4 linked regions of the Coturnix japonica genome follow. The protein of the gene in region 2 interacts with the protein of the main gene of each other region in a pairwise test. Links are inferred from orthologs where the notes say so. Each region holds a gene or a part of one and is shown on either strand. Other genes may lie near its edges. The genes, in order: SMAD3, CPSF7, ARMC7 and NCK2.

Region 1 (4,344 bases), on a different chromosome or scaffold from region 2:
CTGCTCCAGCAGGAAAAGAAAACAAAAAGGAAAGAATCCTGCCAACAGCTCTGCTAAGAACCATGAGGGTCTCTCCAGCCTTCTGCTGTATGCCACTTGTCCTTCCAACTGGAACCTGGGCTTGGAGGTGTGTCTGCCAATCCATCTGTGAACTAATTCATCACATAGAAGTGACAACAGGAACAAATTTGGCCTTCTAATTCCACAGTCCTACAACAAAAATTCGTGTATGACGTATTCATTTTCCTTGTTCTTTCTTAAATTGTGCATTCAGCCTCACCTTGTCGCTACAGGAACCTGAAGCTGTCAGCTCATCTGCTGCACAGCCCTTAGTCCCACAAGCAATGTTCCTGCAAAGCTTGAGCACTTTTACATCTGAAACTTGCTGTGTCTCATGGATACAATAGCTAATTTTGGACTTACCCTACTCCTGCTGGGCCAGAGTCATCGCTGGCATGGCTCCACCGTAATTCAGCCTACTGATGCATTACAGACAATGCACACCATGATCTAATCCTTAATGATGTTTTTTCCCCTTTCGCCTCCCTTCAACATACTTACTTACCTAACTAATAAAACAAGATACGAAGCATTAACTTTAAAGAAAATACTGAAACCACACTAGAATTGTCCTGAAAATGCTAATTTGGAGTGACAGGGTGACCAGATTTGTAGATACGTCAGGACAAACAGCACAGCCCAGAGGAGAGGACACAGCCCAAAGTCACAGACCTTGCTCCAGCTTTGCCACCACCCCCATTCTCCGATACCTAAGTATCAACCCCTCACTGTGCTGCTGCTGAGGGCCCAGAACAAAGTAACTTAACAACCACCACTTGCACCTTTGTAATGCCTGTATTAAACAATACCAAATGTACACAGGAAGTGTTACTCTAAAAATCTAGTACTAAGACCAAAGGAGCTGGTGTCAAAATATGCTGATACTCCCCAAGCAGCGAGGTTTAGGACATACAGGATCCAGACTCTGCATTACAAGTGGGTATGAAATGTTATAATTCCTGCATGGTTTTCTTATAGCTGAGCACAGTCTATGAGAAGCATTAGCTTCTGCACAGCAGGCTCTTCCAGGACCATCTCTGGAGGTGATAATATTTACGACTTGTGACATCTGCTCGCATTGTTACTTATTTTACAGCTTCACAATTATTTTGCTCAACTGAAGCATCCTATTGCACCCATCTCTTTGCTTCCTTTGAATCACAAAATACCAAACTCTCCCTCCCTTACGCTACAACACCTTGTTGCTAGTAAAAGAATCATCCACAGGCTTCATGCTCTGTTCATCAGCAATGAGGCACAGTACCAGAGTCATATCAGCAGGGCTGCTCAAGTCATTTTCTTCTTCCGAAGAGGTATTTAAGGGAAGTGGTTTAGATAGGGCACTATCTGTGAGGGATCCACACTGCTTACCAAGAATTTCAAAATAGAGGTTATATTACGTTTGTTACCAGGGGCAGCTCTGCACGCGTAGCTCCCTTCTTCAGCTAGAAGAGGAAGCCTGAATAACTCTAACTAATAAAGGCGAGGGGCTGGTTGTATCAGTGTAAAATCTCAGCCACGGTCATTCAGCACTAGAATATCAGGAGAATTCTTTTTTGTTGTTGAAAAAAACAAAAGCCAGAACAACAGAAAAAAGAAAAAGAAAAACAAAACCCAAGCCCTACAGTCACTGGAAGAAAAATTTCAGAGTTCTAAATGCCCACATTTCTAAGCTACTTGCTTCACTTCTTCATGCAACAGATGCTGCTTTGTATTAGCTACTGCATATTAAATCATTCTGACAACCAAGAAAGCATACATTTGTTTGCGCGAGAGAGGAGCATGAATACACACACACAGCTATCTTCTCACGCAGAAGCACACAATTATGCAGCATTCAAATATTTGGAATGAACTTTGGCCCGTGTTTCAAACAACAACCAAAAAAGTGCCCCTCAAACAACGACCAATACCAGCCCCAGCAGTCATCTGGCCCCGCACACTGAAATCAACAAACCCTCAGCAATAAAGCACCGCCTGTGGCCAGCTAGATCTGAAAGTTACGGGCAGGATTTTCCTTTGATGGGATACTTACACACACGTCCTTCATGATTTACAATGGGCTCAAAGAGCTCAAAATGAAGGCTAAAAATAAAATCTACGTTAACACAACATTTAGTATGTATGCACATGGGTTATATTCACCCTTTGGAACAATCCCCTTCAGCAATGCCATTTGTGTTCCCAATCTAAAAAGCGATTGGAAAACACACACACAGCAGGGCTCTCAATCACCTCTTCGTCTGTCCAGCTAACATGGAAACAAGCAAGCGACCCAAACAAACCATTTTGCTTATAGTTTATCAAAAATAAACAAATCTTCCCCTAACAACGCCGGAGAACACGCTGAAACTTCTGACCACGAGTACCCACAACACGCAGAGCTGTTATCCACAACTTTTTCTCTTCATCTCAGCCCTATTTTCTGCCCTCATCCCCTCGCACTTTCTCCCTCTCCCGTTATTACACAGCGCTCCCACCCGCCGCCACTTTCTCCTCCGTGTAACCGCACTCTCTCGGATGGGCGCAGCGGGCGCCCAGGCCCGTCGGCCCCGCCGCTACCTGGGGATGGTGATGCACTTGGTGTTGATGTTCTGCGTGGTGATCGCCTTCTCCAGCTCGTCCAGCTGCCCCGTCTTCTTCAGCTTCTTCACCAGGCTCTTCACCGCCTTCTCGCACCATTTCTCCTCCTGCCCGTTCTGCTCTCCTTTCTTCCAGCCCAGGAGCCGTTTGACGATGGGAGGGGTGAACGGCAGGATGGAGGACATGCTGGCTCTGCCGGCAGCGCCCCGCCGCCCCCTGCTCCGCTCCGCGCCGCGCAGGCCCCGCGGGCAGCACAAAGCCCGGCCCCGCTCCGCTCCGCTCCGCCGCCTTCAGCGCCTCGGGGCCGCGGCACCAAACTTTGCCCGGAGTTCGCCGCCTCTCTCCGGCGGCGGCGGCGGCGGCAGCTCCCTCCTCCTCCCCCTCCTGCCCCGCTCTGTGTGCGAGGAGAGGCGCCCACTCCAGCTCATTCCCAGTCTGTCTCTCATGCAAATTGCCTGCTGGCCGCCCCGGCCCGGCTTCCACCCCCTCCTTCCCTCCCAAACACGCTCACTCACGCCGCCGGGGGAGGGCGGGGAGGCGGCCGGCCCGCCGGGAACTCCGCTCCCCCCTCCTCGCTCGGGGCTGGGGCCCCTCGGCTCTCGGCTCTCCGCTCTCAGCCCCGCTACGGCGCCGGGAAAGGCGTCCCCTGAGCGGCGCGGCCTTCCCACCTCACAGCGCGACCCTCAGGGCCCCCTCAGCGTGGGGACCCTCAGCCCTGGCTGTTTTCTGTGGAAAAAGGAAGAAAAATAACACAAACAAGTGCCGCACGTCTTTCCACGCAGCTGAGCACCGCTCAGTCAGCCTTGGACAATCAGCAGTTTCAACTCCTTCAATTTACTGTTCTCTTCCTTCATCCTCCCACTCTGCAGACTGGGGACCCGAATAATTTTCGCCCTGTATCATCTCCAGTGTGTCGTTTGAGCCTGTTTACCACCAGACCTGGTCAGAAATTCTCAGACGGAACATTTTGGTCATTGAGCCGCTGTGTGTTCAGCTCTAGGTGCTTTGCAGAGAGGCTCTTGTTTTGCACTAACTCAGGACGGCATCCAGGTGAATGCCCAGCTCCTCCCTTTCCACTGCTGGGCAGACAGGGCCGCTGCCCGGCCTCCAGCATTGCCCCCTCATGCTGAAAGGGAGCCCACCCAGATACAAACAGCAGCTCCTCAGTGCTCCGATCCTGTGGTAAATCGCCCCAAAACGATGCTGAGCAGCACACAGCAGCCTGGGGCCACCTGCAGAGTCACCGGGTGCCTCCACCGAGGCCAGTTCGCTTTTCTGCGCTCCAGCTGCACGCAACAGCCATCCAGGAACAGGGGGTGAAAGTTTCAAGGCCCAAATTCTGAGGTTTTGAGTTGAGAAATGCTTCCCAGCTTCCTCCATCCTCCCAGACGGGATGATGGGGAGCGGAATCTGGGAAGCCTCCGGGGCTGCTCGGCAGCTCCCAGACACCTACAGCTCTTGCCAACCCACGTTCTCCAGTTCCAGGTTCCAGTACAACCCAGTGGGGAGACTCCTCGAAAGCCAGCATCCAAAATTCCCTGTGTGTACAGATTCAAAGCAGCCAGCTATACGGATTGCCTTGTGGCAAGTTAGGAACCTATGGGTTCAGACAGCGTCTGATGCTCAAAGGCAACTGGCCTGACTTTCACAAGGGGTTTAAAAACAGACAGTGCCCTTTGTTCCAAACTGACAGTACCAACT
Region 2 (3,486 bases):
GGTTGAGCCTCTCCTCACACATCCTCTCCTCTGTTCTTTGCAGCATGGATGCATACTGAGGCCCTGCACCAGAGGACCACAGCAGCGCAGGTACACGAGATGGCAGCAAGCAGGTGGCACAGGCTCCATCTCCAGCCTGTGGTGGTGAGCCAGACCCACACTGGCACCTGTGGGCAGTGCCAGGGCTGTGCCTGGGTAGCACCCACCCTGCTGCCACCCAGCCCCGAGGTTTGTGACACACAGGTCAGTCCAAGGTACAGACAATTTGTTTTTTTTACAGCGTTGTAAGAAGAAATCACTATTTTCCAATAAATAGTTATTTTTATCTGGTGCCTGGGCACGTGGCATCCCCCCAGGCCAGAGCACCTCATTACCACAGCCAGCCCCTGAGCCAGCATGGGAGGCACAGCAGCCCTTAGGAAGAGCTGGAAGATTGGGGGTGGGGGGGCGTTACAGAAGTGCTTGGCTCTTGCTGCCCATCCACACCTTCATCCCCTGAACATCCCCACCAGAATCTCTTGAAAAGCTCCATATAAAAGACTGACAACGTCATCAAGTTTATTACACAACTTCCAACCTATCAGAAAGACAAACAAACCTAAGTCACTGCGGGCAGAGGGGGGCAGCGCCTCGCCGGGTGCTTAATAGAGGTTCCTCTCTGCACTTTTCCCCCCCACACTAATTGGAAAGAAACTATAAATTTGTGTTGTTACGTAAAAAAAAAAGCCAACAAAAACAGAACTCACCCACCAAATGCTTCCCCCCAGTGCTCACCTGATGGTACTTGATGGAATTCATTGTGTGATTGTAGCCTAACAAAGACCTGTGGAGCTGGGTTTTTCTCCTGTCCAGCAACAGTTCTGAAGGTAATGCCACCCAGCTGGCATCCCTGGGGGCTGGCTGGTGCTTTGGGGCTCCTTGGTTTGCCTGAACCTATTCAGCTCCTCCAGCATGCAACCTTAGCTGAATGGACCTGTATAGGGCTATGAGCTCCTCCTGGGCTTCAAAATGGCTGTGCACAGTGCTGTGCAACTCCACTGGGCATAGGGAGCTCGTGGCCTTGTCCCTGCCACCCGTCCCAGCTTGCAACTGCACCATCACACACAGAGATGCTGCTGGGAAGGGGACATACAGTCGCTGAGGCTGGGGTTTGCAGCTCTGCTTCCTCTGCTTCCTCTAAAACAAGGAAGGCTCTATGGGAGAGGATGATGTCGTGAGGCCCCACCAGCTCCTGGAAGCCAGAGCTGGTGCTTTGGGAGATGAACACGGAGGCTGTGACCCTGCTGTGAAAGTTGGGGCGGAGGGGGGGTGACCCCAGCCCAGCTCTCTTCCAGCTGAAATGGAAAGCTGCGTGCCACTGAGCCCCTGTGCGCCCGAGGATCCATCCACCTGCAGCCACTCCTGGAGGGCTGCGAGAGGAAAGGGCTCACCAACCTCCCTCCGTGAAAATAAAGCACCATTTTTCTTTGGGTCCAAGTACTGATGGAGCAGGGCCCCCTGCCTTTCAGCCTCTCCCCTGGAAGCAGCAGTAGCGGTGGGTGTGGGAAAGGGCTCAGGCCCCAAGGTGTCAAGGAGTCCCTCAGGTGCCTCAAAAGAGCCGTGGGTGGTGAGCAGGGGGTGAAGCAGCCACAGTGGCGCAGTCCTGGTTGAGGTGAGGAGATACGAGTCCATTAAAAACCACTTACTGCCAAACTTCTGCAGGAGAGAGAAAAGAAGGAAGGGCAGCGCTGCAGCACCGGGTATCTTCAGCCATCAGCACAGCACCGTCCCGCCGCTGGGCTCACCTGTCTCAGTGGTGCCGGTCCCTCTCTCTGTCTCTGTCCCGATGCCGTTCATGCTCCCGGTTCCGCTCCTGGAAATAGTCCTCGTGCCGATCCTCACCATGCAGGACGTCCCGATGCCGCCGACTGCTATCACGGGACCGGCTGGGAGAGCGATCCCGAGAGCGGTGTCTTTTCCTGGGGGAAGAAGAGAAGAACGTTTGGTCACCTCCAGAGACCCCAATGAGCCACGCAACCCCCCCAAGGCAGGGTACCTGGTGGAGCTGCTGCTGGAGCTGGTGCTGTAGGACTTGGCTTCAATGCCATGCAGGCAGTCTTTGAGGGAGGAGAGGAGGACGCGGCACCGCTCATCGTTGGCAACGCGGGACTGCTTGATGACAGCAATGGCTGTCAGGAGGGTCTCGATGGCATCGCTGTAATCACCTGTGGGAAGTGGAGGAATGGTGAGGGATGCAGCAAGCTGCAGGTTCAGGGCTGAGGGGATGACGGGGCACAGGGACACAGCCACCGTTACCTGCACTGGCACCCGACACTGCTTTGGAAATGGCACTGCTGGAGATGGCCCGGTTCCTGTTCATGATCTCCTCAAACTCCACCTCACTCACAGGGGCAGGTGGTGGACCGAGCTCCCGGCTGCACAGATATAGGGTTGGGGGCTCAATGCAGCTCCCTCCCAACCCTGCTGGCACCAAGCCCCCCTCCACCCTCCACTCACCTGCTGTGGTTGTAGGGGGTCAAGGATTTGCCGTAGGCATCTGGTGGGGGCCCCACGGCCGTGCTGGGTGGGGGGAAGAAGGCTGGGTTGAGGTGCAGGGCTGGAGGGACAGCCCCAGGGGGGGGCACGGCCAGGTGTGGGGGCAGTCGGGGTGGAGGGGGCATGAGGTGCTGGTAGTGGATGCCGGGTGGTGGTGGGGGGACGCCGAAGCTGGAGGAGAGAGGTGGGAGAGGGGGCATGGGAGGCGGGGGCAGTCCCATGAGGGGCAGAGCAGTGGGGGGGCGGTTGAAGAAGGGCAGGATGGAGGGGGGCTTCTCCAGGCGGGTGGGCGGCAGCGCATTCTCTGTCGGTGTGGCACGGCCATCCAGAGAGTCGGCGGAGTCCCGTGAGTGGGCCCTCGGCGGCACACCTGCAAGCGGCATGGGAAGGGCAGTGAGCTGCAGCCACAGGCACTGCCTGCCCCTCACTGACCTCTTCCTCCCTACACACGCGCGAGGTTCAGCCTCGGGAAAGCTTGAGGTGCCCAGAGACAGATCCAGCCAGCCAAACGTAACCTCCGCTTACACGTGCCTCTCCAACAGGGTCACCTGCGGCCACCTGCACAGCGTCCCAAGGATGCTTGCTTTCACTGGCCGCAGAGCGAGCAGGGACGTGGATAGAAGTGAAAAGCCACAAGAAATGGGGAGAGATGGCCAGAGCCCAGCTTCCTGAAGGTATGAAACAGCCCCAAACACTTGCAGCCTGCTCAAGCAGGCAGCACGAGCATGGATGCAGGGGCAGAACCCAAGTGCTGACAGCTGGAGGAAGGAAAACTGCCTCAGAAGAGAAGGGCAGGAATTGAGGATGAGGCTTTGACGGCGAGCCGGGAGAGGAAAAAAGGGGGGACAGAGCTCTGGGAAAGCTGCTGAGCCCATTGCAAGACCACTCAGGGAGGCTGAAAGTGCACAAACCCTGGCCACCGAACCATGAGGGTGGGCAGAGACGTGGCCT
Region 3 (3,784 bases), on a different chromosome or scaffold from region 2:
AGAGCAACAGGAAATGTCAGGAGACAAATAACCCTCACCCAGTCCCCTCACACTCTTTCCTGCTCCCTCTGTCATTAAATGTATCGTTAACTTTGCGAGCTAAACATATTTTGCAACAAGCACCTTTTCCTACTGCTATGAAACATTCACCAGGAAGTTCATTTGAAATATTGCAAAACTGTGAACCTTATAAGACTCAGATAGTCTGCCAGGGTAAATCTTGGAAAACTTTAATTAAAAACAAAACAAACAACAAACAAACCCAAAAGGTCACGGCAAACTTACGTACTCTAAAACACCTCAGAACTGCAAAATCACTCAAATGAAGAGTTTGGCAAAATTTGCAGACCCAGTCAGTAACTGCAAGAAAAGAAACACACCCACCAGAACCTGAAATTGACCAAATTCTAACTCTGTTGAGATATCAATGGGCACCACTGTCATTAGACTACCCCTAAGGCTGTTAATACCACAGCTATGCTCAGGCAGCCTGTGCAACATGGACAAAATATGGCCCACATCACCCGCACAAACAGCCTGAGCCAGCACTGCTGCCAAGAGATGGTTGTGTACGACCAGGAAAACTTCCTGCAGCATTGCAGCACACGGTGATGATCAGATGCACTCAGTCATGTAAGCAGCACGAGCACAGCCTGCAGCCCTTACAGAACATCTCTGCAGACCACAGACCTGGGAATGTTACCAAACTCTATGGGACAGCTCAAATTAAATGCACAATGTTCCTCACATCCGTTAACCAGCCTGGATTAGACTCAAAACAAGATAGAATCTAGAAGCAGCAGAGCACGCAGCTCGCAGTGAGGTGAGCAGCAGCGCTGCAGTGTGACCCGCAGGGTGCAGCTCTCGGGGATGCACCACCCGACCAGCACGGGCTGTTCCTAAACGCTGCTCGCAGTGAAATCACTGCAGGGGACAAAGTTCCCATTGGTTTTGTGCTTGCAAAATCCTACTGACTGCCCACACACACACACGGTACCTGGGAACTCAGCGCTGCATTTTCCTCCTCCAATGCAACGCGCTCCTCCCCTTATTGCTCAGTCCCACTGTCCTCAAACACTTCTGTCGGTTTGCTTCTCCTTGTTTGCTTTCTCTTCTCTGCCCTTCTCACACCAGCCCCGCTCTGGTCCATATTAGTAATGACAGATGTCGCTTCAAGTGCACTAACACAGTTACAGGCACGAGAAGCACACGCGGGGGTGTAAATTCTGAGGCCTGGGGGGCAAGCAACCAGGTGGCAGGGAAAGGTGAAGAACTGTGCAGAACAAAGGGGGGAAACGATAAAAACACGTGTTTGCCAGATACAGAGTGCAGCAGTGATATGTGCCTTCACTTATTGACGCACATGAGCTGCCCACAGCCCGCCCCGCACGCGGAGCGCAGCCAGCAGCCGCACCGCCCACAACATGGCGGCCGGGGAGTAACGCCCACAACATGGCGGCCGCCGGTGTCCGGAGCGCCCCGTTGTGCCCCGTGCCGGCGGCGCGGTCCAGCTGATCGGCTGGTTCTGGTTCTCAGCTCGGGATGGAGCTGGGCAGGTTGGAGTACCTGCAGGCCCTCGTCACGGAGTTCCAGGTGACAGACAGCCCAGGTAACCCCGCGTACAAAAGCGAAATCTCCATCTACCACAGCCCCCCTTGCCCCGTTTGACGCGTTGCTTCCCCGGCAGAGGCCAGGCGGCAGGTGCTGGCCAACCTGGCCAACTTCGCCTACGACCCCAAGAACTACGAGTATCTGCGGCAGCTCCAGGTGCTGGACCTGTTCCTCGACATGCTGACGGAGGACGACGAGACCCTGGTGGAATTCGCTATGGGTGAGCACAGCGCTGGGTGCGCCCCGATGCTTTCCCTGTTTCTCTAAAACACAGGTAACAAACCGGGGAAAATGAAAATAAACGCTGCAGCCACACGGCGCCATAAATGCCATCACTGCACTGAGATGGACAGGAGAAAATAAAAGGCAACGTAGGGCAATTAAAAACCCATCATTTAATTCCTGGTACCTTGAAGACCGATTGCCCCCTTACCACACAGGGAAACTGTCTGTGCATGTTGCCTTAAGAAAAGTAGTAAAGATGGAGTGTCCGTCTGCGGACAACTCAGTGCCGGCACCACACAGGTCAGGGCCCAACTGCTGGTACCAACAGACGGAACGTGCTCCAGCTGCTGCCATTCATTCCCAGATGAGGTGCCCTTCAGAGCATGGAGTGTGTCCGGATGAGGCTGCAGAAAGAATCTGTCTTGCATGTGTCAGATGCTTTTTTCGCTATTTCAGGTGGTCTTTGCAACCTGTGCTTGGATAAAACTAACAAAGACTATATCCTGGAGGCCAATGGGGTAGAGCCCATAATAAACTGCCTCTCCAGCTCCAACGAAGAGACAGTCATGTCAGCAGTCACAGCCCTGATGTATCTGACAACGCCGCAGTCGTGCCAGCAGACCACAGCTCTCCCGGTGGTGGAATGCATGCTTCGCTTCTCCCTGTCGGCCAGCAGAAGGCTGAGCAATCTGGCCACGATCTTCCTGGAGGATTATTGCACGCCCCTGCAGGTGGAAGAGGCCAGGAACCTGAGCAAACACACAGCGGTGGGGATTCCTCTCCCGAAGGATTGAAGCTGTCAGAGCAGCTTGGAGCTGCTGCGAGGAGCACCCCCTGTTTGCTCAGGTCTGCACCTAATGCTGAGTAGGTCAAGAGTGTGATGAGAACAGTAAAGCAGGAAATCAGACTAGCATTGGATTTTAGTTAGTATTGAAAAGGACCATACAGCACTATAACAGGCCAAGAACGTGGCTGAAAATGGAAGCAAATATTTTAAATAAAAAAGGTGATGGCTGCTGTGCAGCTCTGAACCAGCTTACAGGTATAACCCTTATAGCAGTTACTTTCTCTGCTCGGGTTATTGTTCAGCTTGTATCACTTCCAGTTCCTGGCTGATTTTGCCACAGCTTTCCAGTGTCAACTCAGATGACTTTGAAATGACCCAAACTTCATCCCTCCTGCAGAAGAAATGCGTTTCCCTGCCCTGGTAATTTGCAATCCTATTACATACCTTTGGTACTATACATACTGTCTTATCATCCTGCCCTAGAACAGGTGATAGCTATCCCATAGGTCAGGAAGCAGAAAGCTGTATTTCCCTCATTACCACTGGTGAGAAAGGTGCAGGTAGGAAAAGGGTTTATGGCATTCAGGTTCACAAGAAAAGCCTTTTCTTAATAAAACATTAACGGAGCTGTTGTGTAAACAGTTCTGTGTAAGCTCGTAAATGTTCCTGTACAGCTCTTGCAGCGCAGCCTCTGCTGCTCCCACTAATGCACGTGGGCTGGGAGTTGGAGCCACTTTGCTCTCCTTTTATGATCAGCCAATCGTGCAAAAGGTAACCTGGAGCCAGGGCGGCAAACTGCCCAAAGGCATAGAACGGGGTGGCCCTTTACCACGGTGCTTCTGAAAGGCTGCGAGTTCCAGAGTTCTGCTTTCTCCCCCTCCACTCAGCTCAAAACACGCCATAGTGAGCTTACACCACAGCTGGCTGTTTGTCTTTATAGTTATTCTTCATAACATCACTGCGGCTCCGGCCGCACCAGGACGAGGCACCGTGAGGTGAACCCCGCAACCCCCGCATGAAGCCGAGCGGCCCCTGGCGGCACCACGGCCCCGAGTGGAACCTCCGGCCACAAGCGGGTGGAACTGCCGGCCTGGCCTTAGTGCGGGGCCAGGCGGCTCCGCTGTGCGCTGCGGGAACCTTCATCGGACGGCTGGGCGCGCT
Region 4 (3,563 bases), on a different chromosome or scaffold from region 2:
AATGCTTAAGGCCCAATCCAGAAAACGAGGTCAAAAAGGCAGTAAAACTTGCAGAAACCTATCTTAATTAGCAAGGACTGGGAACAACTGAAGACCTATTAATGAGCCTGCTGAATAGACTGCATGTTGATTAAATACGGAGTGGGCAAAAACAAGATGAAGCTTGTTTCAAAAAAAAATAATTCAAGCTAGTTGTTCATAAGGCTGGATCATAAATTAACGTTAGTTACTGCTTCCAAACAAAATACTCCAGTGGTTGGCGCCTCTATATTCAGAAGCTGTTCACAAGGCAAGAGGTGGAAGAAAAAAATAAAAGGATTGTAAATCCCTTAGAATATCGAGCATATGGTAAAAATCTCACTTGGAGGTCTATTTGATTTAGTTCTAATCTATCAAGACTAGAAAGGGGTTCGGAACTTTCAGTGGAAAAAAGAAAAGCAAAATAGGAAACGCACAGCAAGAGGCATAGAAAGACTCTTGGAACACAAAATACAGTGAATGTTTCAGAAAAATGAACATGGGGCAACATGAAAGAGTAACTGTAGTTGTTGATTTACTGAAAAACATTCCCACGTACCACTTTTTGAAACACTACAAAGAGGCAATGGGACTGAAAAGCAACTCACTCCGAACTGAAAACACACAGCATGTAGTTGGCTTTCTTAATGTCTTTGTCATACTCAAGGTACATGCTTACATTGAGCTAAATGAGTAACTAGATATTACACAGCAAAAGCCCTATGGCCTCTGCAGAACTCACTTAAAAGGTTAAGAAGAAACCAACTGTGATGTCCTGGCAAGAAGGATGTAAACAAGGGGCACTTCTCAGCAACTCCATAATGAAAATTTCTCTGCTCCCATAATCTAGCCATGGGTATGTTCTTGCCAGGATGAAGAAGAGTGATTGTTCTGGTCTGTCTTATATAACTACCCTTATTCACAAAGCTGGACCATGCAGAAGTTTCAGTGCCCGATTTTTGTTTACCCACATACAGTTGTTAATTCATACACAGTTCTAATCCAGATAATCTCACAGAAATAAGAGCAGCTGTGGAAGAATAACATGTGTATAACTCATGAAGTTGTACGTTGGTTGCTCTGAAAGTAATGCCTCGATTTACTTCCATCGAAACTACCACAGATACAAAGAGCACAATAACACTATTTGATAGAACAAATTCTCAGCTACAAAACACTCTTTTTCAACAGTCATCACCATCAGCTATGCATTTTTGCCAGCGATGAACAAGAGCCTGCATGCCACACTCATAAAAATCTGCATGGCCATCCAGAACATGGCTTGTCTTTCATGTTGCTGTCACCACTGCTGAAATGCACCACCCACCGCCTCACTGTGCTCACATCCACTGTCTGGTCTCCATTAAGTTCCAGCAAATGATGATGAATGTCAATGGGTGCCATTTTTTTCTGCATGGAGGAATTCAACTAGACACCTTTGTTTCATACACACTTTCATGTCAGACATCATTGCATCAGAGTGCTGCCATCTGTCACACAGCAGCAAAATGTTACAGAATGTTGGTGGGAATGCTCAGCCCCTACTACCGTCCTACTAATATCCACCTCTGACTTCATAATAATAAATAGGAGACATTACTTTCAGAGCAGCCCTCAGCTGGTGCTTGTTCTGCCTACACTGGAGTTATGCATGTATCACCACTGGCTGAAATACAAAAATCTGTAAGGAAGACTTAATAGCAAAAAAAGGTCCCATAAAAGAGCTCCATCTTGCAGTTTTCATTAAAGCTATAAACAAATCACAGAGAGAATCAATGTGGAGCTCATTAGACACCGCCTCGTATCAACCTGAACTCTGCAGTGGCACATATTTTCTTTGTAGGCCACACACATTCCAAGACAGGCAAATTCAGAATTTACTCTATTTGACCTTTCTAAAGCCACGCCAGAACTACCACCCAAGGATAAACCCAGTACTCCATCATGACATAATACCTTTTTTATTACAATATCCAAAAAACTGAGTACGCAAGATTTTGAGATCTCAAGATCCCTTCTTCAATCTCAGGAGTGTGCCATCTAAAGTCTGTATATTTAAACCATAAAGGAGTTTAAATGTAAAGAAAAGAGAAAAAAGCATTTTCTTCATAAACATTCTGTGTGTCTCTTCCTACCAATCACACCACCCTCCATAAAACCTGAAGTTTCCTTTCTGTAAAGCAAATATATATATAGTGTTGGTAGCCCACCCCACCCTGTCCCCTGATCAGTTTTTATTAATTTTCTGTATTAGTGTCAACAATCAGCTACAGATACATATTACTTTGAGAATTAAATACATAATTGTTTAATTCAAACAAGCAGAAGGGCAAGAGGAAAAAAGCATTATGTGGATGGCACATTTGGTTGTAGATTACCAGAACATTCAGTCTTTACAATTCAATGATTCTCTCTTTAGTAATCAACTTTCAAATAAAATTTCTCTTTGTTGCAATTACAGACCAAAATACACTAGATAGTTTTCTTTTACTACAATCTTACCATAGTAGTTTAAGAAGTACTATTACAAAACGCTTTAATTAGTGTACTCTTTGCAAAGAGTCAGAGAGGCAATGTAATAGCAGAGTACAGTGTAAAGAGTGCTTCTAGGAACTAGGAGTTTTTGTAATATACTACCTGGTAAGCAATATAGCTACAGAACTCACAGCCACAACTGTTATGTCTACTATATCTCACTTACTTAGCTGCAGCCTCAGTGCATTCAAACTGTGCCCGATGTCTCTTAACAAAGAGTTCTGTCTGTCTGCGTGAGCAATTTGAACAGGTTAACACTGGGTTGAATTGCAAACCCCCCTCCTTTATCCGAGCTAAGTATGTAAACGTACACAGAAGAGGGGAGTTTAGAACTCGGACATGGAAGTGAGTGCTTACAATGGCCACAGAGGTGAACTTCTCAACCTGAAGGGAGGTGATCTGAGATTAACAGAACTGAAACACAAAAGTAGGCAAACGAAAAAGGACAAATAACAACCAACAGAGCAAACACGTTAGAAAGAGCCTACTCTTTAAGCCTGCTTCGGATATTGCTCTGCTCTATAAAAGTGATTTTAGGACCTAAGGCTTGGAAGTTAGAAGGGGCCTGGGTGGCCAAGTCCATCTTCATCGTCACTGAAGTGCTTTCACAAGATATAGCTTTTCCCCGTGTTCACTGGTGAAGATGGGTGCCTTTTTGTAGTGTTCCACCAACTCATCCATAGTATTAAAGCGACGCTGCCCAATACAATAGACATTGTCCACGAGCTGCACCTTGAAATGTTTGTTCTTCCCCGATGCTTTTAGAGATACCGAGAAGTCACTGGGCTGTTGGGAATAATTCAAAAAGAAAAAGAAAGAGTTACATAAAAGTGAACAAAAAGAAGGCACAGTATGGTGGTTTCAAGAACAAACTGAAATACAGCTGACAGCGTAATTTGTGTTAGTCTTTGTTCCACAGCTCAGTGCCTCAGCTACTTAAGAAACCCAATAGTCTATTATTCAATAAATAATTGCCATCGTGCACAGTTAAGTCATTTAAGTGAAGCTCC

Evidence for each region.
Region 1: the proteins of CPSF7 (region 2) and SMAD3 interact in binary tests that used the Homo sapiens proteins (3 or more experiments, as listed by UniProt). The two-hybrid records come from large-scale screens. The link is inferred for Coturnix japonica from reciprocal best matches to the Homo sapiens genes CPSF7 and SMAD3.
Region 3: the proteins of CPSF7 (region 2) and ARMC7 interact in binary tests that used the Homo sapiens proteins (3 or more experiments, as listed by UniProt). The two-hybrid records come from large-scale screens. The link is inferred for Coturnix japonica from reciprocal best matches to the Homo sapiens genes CPSF7 and ARMC7.
Region 4: the proteins of CPSF7 (region 2) and NCK2 interact in binary tests that used the Homo sapiens proteins (3 or more experiments, as listed by UniProt). The two-hybrid records come from large-scale screens. The link is inferred for Coturnix japonica from reciprocal best matches to the Homo sapiens genes CPSF7 and NCK2.

The regions. Positions count from the first base shown.
Region 1 is NC_029525.1:17,036,052-17,040,395, reverse strand, and holds the start of SMAD3 (mothers against decapentaplegic homolog 3), read right to left. Parts: upstream 2,829-4,344; coding exon 2,623-2,828; intron 1-2,622. UniProt on the Homo sapiens protein: Receptor-regulated SMAD (R-SMAD) that is an intracellular signal transducer and transcriptional modulator activated by TGF-beta (transforming growth factor) and activin type 1 receptor kinases.
Region 2 is NC_029520.1:295,665-299,150, forward strand, and holds the end of CPSF7 (cleavage and polyadenylation specificity factor subunit 7), read right to left. Parts: intron 2,906-3,486; coding exon 2,497-2,905; intron 2,415-2,496; coding exon 2,296-2,414; intron 2,205-2,295; coding exon 2,036-2,204; intron 1,959-2,035; coding exon 1,790-1,958; 3' UTR 1,785-1,789; intron 1,696-1,784; exon of another isoform or gene 1,643-1,695; 3' UTR 534-1,642; downstream 1-533. Other genes in the region: TMEM216 (transmembrane protein 216), read left to right, coding at 44-59.
Region 3 is NC_029533.1:9,330,636-9,334,419, forward strand, and holds ARMC7 (armadillo repeat-containing protein 7), read left to right. Parts: upstream 1-1,419; 5' UTR 1,420-1,542; coding exon 1,543-1,609; intron 1,610-1,687; coding exon 1,688-1,831; intron 1,832-2,292; coding exon 2,293-2,630; 3' UTR 2,631-3,262; downstream 3,263-3,784. UniProt on the Homo sapiens protein: As a component of the minor spliceosome, involved in the splicing of U12-type introns in pre-mRNAs.
Region 4 is NC_029516.1:122,088,855-122,092,417, reverse strand, and holds part of NCK2 (cytoplasmic protein NCK2), read right to left. Parts: intron 3,340-3,563; coding exon 3,145-3,339; 3' UTR 1-3,144. UniProt on the Homo sapiens protein: Adapter protein which associates with tyrosine-phosphorylated growth factor receptors or their cellular substrates. Maintains low levels of EIF2S1 phosphorylation by promoting its dephosphorylation by PP1.